2 linked regions of the Daphnia pulex genome follow. The protein of the gene in region 2 purifies or fractionates together with the protein of the main gene of each other region. This does not show direct contact. Links are inferred from orthologs where the notes say so. Each region holds a gene or a part of one and is shown on either strand. Other genes may lie near its edges.

Region 1 (3,912 bases), on a different chromosome or scaffold from region 2:
CCCGAAACGAAAGAGCCTGAGTTGAAGGATCAGCCCGAAACGAAAGAGCCTGAGTTGAAGGATCAGCCCGAAACGAAAGAGCCTGAATTGAAGGATCAGCCCGAAACGAAAGAGCCTGAGTTGAAGGATCAGCCCGAAACGAAAGAGTCTAAAGAAGAAGTTACTAAACCTACCGATTCGCAAGAAGATAGCGTCGATTCACCCCCGGTTAAGGTAATATTTCTAAAAATGTTATAAATTTTTTATTTAGAGTTGTTCATAATTTCAGATAATTTTTATGTACCATTTAAATTTTGTTTCTGACCCAATTCTTTATGGAAAATTTAAATTTTTTCTTTTATTCCCATTTTTCACTCCCTCTGAGTACCTGGCAACGTTGTTTCAATTAGGGGTAGAGAATTAGCAGAATGAAAACTCGCTGTCGTCACAAACCTTTAAGCTCATAAGATCTGTTGCGTATTAACAATCGGTTGTCGTTGGCCGTTCCGAGTTTTTAAACTGTAACTTGATATTAATAGTCTTATCTTTACACGTGATACCATTTTGTTGTTAGTCATATTTCTTCGGCACTAGGGTATCTCACTAGCATCTGCCACGTGTGTAATATGGCATTGTTTCATTGAATCAATTTACTTACTTAACCTAATATTTATTTCTGTAGGCTGTGACTGCAATGGCTGTCGAAAACGAAACGCCACCGTTGATCAAATCAGATGTGTGTGAGCAACCAGTTGTCAAAGTAGACCCAGTTCCTGAAGAACAACCCACTGATGACAATGAAGAAGATGAACTTCAGATGGACACCACTGAAACAATTGATGAAAGCCTGAAACTTACAGAAGCACCTGAAGCAGAAGAAGTTGCTGACAATCGTGACCAGGGGCGTGAAAAATCAAGGTAGGCGTTTTTATTAAATGTCACAACAACAAGCAATAAAGTTAGTGTTTTCTTTAATATTTCAAGTTCCAGATCACCTAGCCCACGACAAAGCAGCCCAGAAGTTGAGAGAAACAGGAATGGAAGGAGTGTATCACCCCATGACACCAAACAGAAGGTTGAAGTAGCACCTCAGTCTGAAGTAATAAAAGGAGACACAGTGAGAAAATGGAAAATAAGGAAACAGTTGCCTAATGTTGAGGCTGAATCAGGAGAAACTGAAGCACCAAGAAAACGAAGATGGGGAACTAGCCAGCTTCTGCCTACCAAGAAGCCTGCCTTAGTTATTTCCACAGATTCCCTTAAGGTAACACATCAATACATTTCATGTGTTAAGTGAGCACAAAAATAATTGCTTGCAATTCTTCAAATAGTCTCTCGTACCGGATGCTAAACCACTCTCAGCGGAAGAAGTTCGCCTCGGCAGTCCTAACTTTCAACCCTCAACAAAACCCACCGTTAATCAGGCCCAAGAAAGTGAAGACCATCATTTACCAGCTGCTGAAAAAGTTGAAAAAATGGAGGTTGTGAGACGTGTAGCAGTTGAAATTGCGGCCGAAGCCTTCGCCCCTGCTAAACCAGAAGTTGTTCTAGCTGCTGCTGCCCCATTATTAGAAGCAACTAGTCCAGCCCAACAACCTCGATCATCCGTTCTTAATGTTTCAAATTTGGTTCGACCATTTACTATTAATCAGCTTAAAGAATTGCTTGCTCGTACTGGACACCTCATCGATGGAAAGTTTTGGATTGATAGAGTCAAGTCCTCTTGTTTGATCCAGGTAATTTTCTTCAATCCTTTTTTACAGTTCATAAAAGATGACTTATATTTTTCTTGTGTCTACAGTACGAAACTGAGGAAGAAGCTGAAGAAACTCGGGCTGCCTTACACGGAATTCATTGGCCTACATCTAATCCCAAAACCCTCCTGGTTGATTACTCAACTGTAGAAGAATTAGAGAACCGCATGTCTGGTAAAGAAACAACCAACCCACCTGTAGCCAAAATTGAACCAACAATGCGAGCGGCCGCCGCAGCCATCCAGTCCATTGAAGGGAAGCGAGACAAGGCTGAAAAAGTACGCGAATGGGATTTGGGAAAAACTGGTGAACAAGGATCCGAGAAATTAGAGCAAGCCCACAAAGGAGCACACCCCGCTGGGGAAGACGACGGAGAACTCAAACCAAAAGACGAAACGCCCGCCAAACTGTTGGACGATTTGTTCCGAAAAACCAAAGCCGCTCCATTCATTTATTGGTTGCCCCTGACTGCAAGTCAAATTGCAGAGAAGGAAGAGATGCGTCGCCAGAGGCTTGCTGAAAGAGAGACTCGTATACGAGAAGTTCAGCAACGCAGGGACGAAGAGCTGCAACAGCGACAACGTGAAAGAGAGAAACAGCGTGAAAACGAGCGCGAAAGGCAGCGTGCTCGGGAACGAGATCGTGAAAAGGAACGCGAAAAAGATCGCCAACGCTCTCGCAAACGCAGCAGATCTTCATCTAGAAGCTCGTCGAGCACTACCTCATCAAGTCCGAACAAGAGACGGAACAACAGTAAAACGCCCCCACGCAAGAGATAAAGATGACGAATATTTAACAATCTTCAGTCACAACACTGATTGGTTCGGAGAAGATTGGGCTAGAAAGAAACCAATCAGCTGCAAGATGACTACAACTACTCTTGAATTGGGAGACGAGTTCTCGAATTGTACGTGGAAGAAAACACCTTGTTCTTTTTTAATTAAAAATTTAGAACTTACGGAAAATACCTTATTCCCTAATTTCCTTCACTCTTTTATCCCCTTGTACACCTGCCACGTTTAATCGTACCCCTTCCCGTTTTACCTCTCTATTCTTATCCCTTGCCTTAGTTACCTTTCCCCTCTTTCTTTCCCTACTACCACCTTCTGGATAATCCGTTTGTTTGCAGGTCTATCGTAGCGAGCCATCCAATCTAAACTTTCTGAACGGGAATTTTATATCTTTCAGCAGCCGTTCAACTTGTGTGTGTTAACCCCTCATTGTCACCGAGGATCGGCGATTGATTGGGGAAAAGCAGAAGATGTCACAAACATAACAGAAAGAACCTATGATGTGAAGATTTACTTTAGCTTGATGTATGGGGCTACTCGGAAAAAATCCCTTGGTACGTTGTCACCAGACTGCTTTCTGGTTTCAACCAACGCATACTGTCACTGACACATTCAACCCAAATGTTCTGTTACGGGTTGAATTATGCCTGTTTGTTCTCCTCCCTGTAATTGTCTGACTCTCACACCTTAAGTTCCAATGGACTAATTTACAAATTGTTTGATTGGCTGGCGTACAAATTCCAATCGCTTGAAAAGGCATCCTACACTGTATTACGTAAATACAAAGTAATGAACTCCACCAATATTTTTGCATTAATTTAATTTTTAAACACAGCCGCTTGGCATAGTATATTTTCGTAACACAGACCTAAGGATACAATCAACGTTTTTTGTTTTTACGATATTCAGCAGGGTTCCGGCGATTAAAGTTGCTAGTTGCACGACCTGTTCGTCCAAGTTGCGCTGCGCGAGAATAGACATCGTTGACAGCAAAAGGTGAATTTCCTACACGAGTCGAGTAAACATCTTGTTAGTCGGTTAGGATTTCAATTTAAAACTTGTTTAATAACCTGCAACATAGTCGGGATCTAGGGCATTCGTTTTAGTACGACCTAGACGAGTAGCGCGTTGCTGAGCTTCTCTTTGGTCTTCTACGAGAATTGGATTGCAAGCGTATTTGCCTCCCTTTGGTGTTGGTAAAGAAAACTTTGAAAAAATAGAAAAGGCTACGATTAATTTTGATTTTAATTAAAGTTTAATGACGAAAGCCGTATTTACCTTCTTCCCACGAGCTGTCAACTTTTTTCTGCTAGAGATATGAATTTGCAGTGTGCCGTCTTCGTTCAAACTAACGGCTACTTTTTTCAATGTTTGATTTCCACATTTCG
Region 2 (3,026 bases):
CATAAACCGAAAACGGAAATGTCTTGTTAAAGCTCTCAATGACATCCCAACAACTGACATACTCTAGAAAGGGTGACCGAACTATTAGTGGTGCCTTAGATCCAATTGGATCACAATTGTTGAGAATCATCCACACTAATTCCTGTGTCCACGTCGTTCCTAAGTAAACAAATTCAAAGTTATCAATTTTATATGTGCGGGAGAATACGAAAAGTTAACACTTTCAAGATCCGAGAGATTTGTATTTGTTTGTTTCAAACTATGTGTTTTAAAATAGGCGGGGAGAAATACAAGGTTGCCATTTGGCTACTAGACTTTCAAGGCTACGGCCAAAAAAATTGATGACAAAGAAATAAATTGTGACGTAATAGCAGTAATTGCTAAACAAATACCACTAGGATATTTATTTTTACGAATTATTATTTTATAAAAATGTAGCTATTACATAAAAAAAATCTTAAAAATGATTGAAAAAGGATTTTACCGCATTTTGGAAAGGTTACTACCCAAACGTCGTCGCTTCTTGGTTGAAAACGTGAAATTTCTTTGGCATGGCGTGCATACTCATCCGTTAAGAGAAAACCACCAGGTTCGCTCTTCATCAGTCCATGCTGCTCGTAGTTTGTGAAGTGTTCTTTCAAGTCTCCATTCACTTCTACAGGATTGAATTTTATGTTCCACTCTGGAACAACTTCGGGAGGAACTGAAGGATTTTCGGGGTTTGTCATCGTGCGAGAGCTCAGACAACAAATGAAAACGCAACGGCAAAAAGGATCGAACAAAGACCGCGACGACTGAATGACACCGTGGCCTCCTTTTTTATACTCAACAGCGACTCAGCGAGTGCCACATCAAATTTTAACGATTTGGTTTTCGTCGTTAAATCAAATGCAAAATTATTAAATCCACGTAAATATGTATTACAATATCAGATATTTGATAATATTTATTTAAATATTTTACAACGACCCAACGAGCAAAAGAAAAATATACTTCTCTAACAACATAATTTTGATTTCGAAAATGTTATGCTGTAATCGATTACAAAAATTCTCAATTTGGCATACATAAGCATTACTCAATTTCTAAAACATTACATAAAAAAATGAGAATATAAATACATTAAAGAGCAGGCAGTGAGGCAGCAGAGAGCAGGTCCGCGGACGGCGGACCGCTAGCGGCTAGCCGTTTACAGGTGGTGGATGAAAGTAAATCTGGCAACGGTTACGAGTTGCGACACCATTTCATGTTGACAAGCCGAGAAACGAGTTGTATCAAACTGAAACTGAAACATTGAATTGATCTCGTTTTTTTGAGAAATACGCCAGAAACATTAAGGTAATTAGAGAGTACTTGTGCATATCTTGTTTTATTTCGTTTGGATCGCCATGGTAAAGCACAACGAAGACGAGAGGAGTCCCAAAAGGTCCCACGAACGAGGCCATGAAAGAGGCAAGACTCACAGACGTCGTGAAGAACGTGACTCTTCCCCACCACGAAAATCTTCACGAAGCGACCATTACCATTCAAGAAGTGATGACTATGAAAGAAGTCGGAAATCAGACAGCAGGAGACATGATTCACAAGTTTCACACAAAGAAAGTAATCGAAGAAATGACCCACCAATTCCAGTTAAAATCAAGAAAGAACCAGTTAGTGATGATGAACAAAGTTTCAGACGTCCACAACACAATGAAGGGCCTTCAAGACGGCATGAGCAACCACATTCAGAAGATCGACCACCAAGACCTTTTAAGCAGAGACGCAAAAGCCCCCGAAGTGAAGATGCTGAAGCAGCCAACTACCAGTATGGCCAACAAGTTAAAGATGAAGAAGAAGAAGGAACACTCGTTGAAAAGCAAAAACCCAACTTTGGTCTATCAGGAAAATTGACTGAAGAGAAGAATGTTTTCAATGGTGTGGTGGTCAAATACAGTGAACCACCTGAAGCCAGAATTCCCAAGCGACGGTGGCGTTTTTACGTCTTTAAAGGGGAAGAGGCATTGCCTACGTTGTACCTTCACCGTCAAAGCGCCTACTTAATCGGAAGAGATCGTAAAGTTGCTGATATTCCAATCGACCATCCCTCTTGCTCGAAACAGCACGCTGCGATCCAATTTCGGTTGGTAAACTACGAACGGCCTGATGGAACTGCAGGACGTACTGTCCGGCCATATATTATTGATCTGGAAGCAGCCAATGGTACTTTTGTAAATAATCAAAAAATTGAATCCAAACGTTACGTCGAATTGTTCGAGAAGGATGTGGTGAAGTTTGGCTTCAGTTCCCGCGAATATGTTCTCCTTCATGAAGAAAGCAAAACAGATGCTAGTTTGGACGATATGGGAGTGGGGCAGTGACACGTTGGTGACCAGCAATGTTTTGTATCATAACAATTTTCTTTTTTGAACGCCGCAATACACTTAATGTTTCTGCGAAAGGTATTCAATCGTCTTTAAGTGTTCTTTCATTTCATTTCCAGGTTTCACACATCAGTGGGGCTGTTCATGTTATTCGTAAGTTGTCACGTTAATTCAAATTTATAACTAAAGCAATTTTTACAACCAGTTGGTAACAGGTAACCAAAATTGCTGGTGTCATGAGACCTGTGGAACGACTGCTGGCCTCCTCAGCAAGACCGCCCAACATTCTAATATGTACGAGTGACAAAGAAGTTTTTCAGCAATATCGAGCCCTCTTTGAATCCACACTAGAGCCGGATTGGTATATAAACAGTATAGACATTTGATATCTGGATTCTTGATCTTAAACAATGTAACATTGATTGACAGTTATGCCCTTTACCATCTCGATGAACTCTCATTTCGTTCTAAAAAAGCTTGGCTAAGCAACACAAGCCTCCTAGTACTTGCTTCTCGATGGTCTGATAATGACTTGCACGATCCGCTGGAAGAGTACATCAAGAAGGGTGGTCAATGTCTTTCCCTACACCCTTTTTCTCCAAAATGGCTGAATGGAACCCAAGTGAATGGCGTTACAAAGTACGTATCTGATCAAGGCTTACT

What was found. The genes of interacting proteins can lie anywhere in the genome.
Region 1: the proteins of smad nuclear interacting protein 1-like (region 2) and apoptotic chromatin condensation inducer in the nucleus-like purify together in Homo sapiens (affinity purification with mass spectrometry; 3 studies listed by BioGRID and IntAct, counting the BioPlex papers as one, with this or other methods). This does not show direct contact. The link is inferred for Daphnia pulex from reciprocal best matches to the Homo sapiens genes SNIP1 and ACIN1.

What each region holds. Positions count from the first base shown.
Region 1 is NC_060026.1:13,524,012-13,527,923, reverse strand, and holds the end of apoptotic chromatin condensation inducer in the nucleus-like, read left to right. Parts: coding exon 1-213; intron 214-661; coding exon 662-897; intron 898-963; coding exon 964-1,243; intron 1,244-1,310; coding exon 1,311-1,715; intron 1,716-1,780; coding exon 1,781-2,512; 3' UTR 2,513-3,323; downstream 3,324-3,912. Other genes in the region: RNA-binding protein NOB1-like, read right to left, coding at 3,405-3,529, 3,595-3,730, 3,803-3,912.
Region 2 is NC_060018.1:419,566-422,591, reverse strand, and holds smad nuclear interacting protein 1-like, read left to right. Parts: upstream 1-1,332; 5' UTR 1,333-1,388; coding exon 1,389-2,360; 3' UTR 2,361-2,444; downstream 2,445-3,026. Other genes in the region: sulfotransferase 1B1-like, read right to left, coding at 63-159, 485-728; biotin--protein ligase-like, read left to right, coding at 2,508-2,516, 2,579-2,724, 2,793-3,026. UniProt on the Homo sapiens protein: Required for pre-mRNA splicing as component of the spliceosome. As a component of the minor spliceosome, involved in the splicing of U12-type introns in pre-mRNAs. Down-regulates NF-kappa-B signaling by competing with RELA for CREBBP/EP300 binding.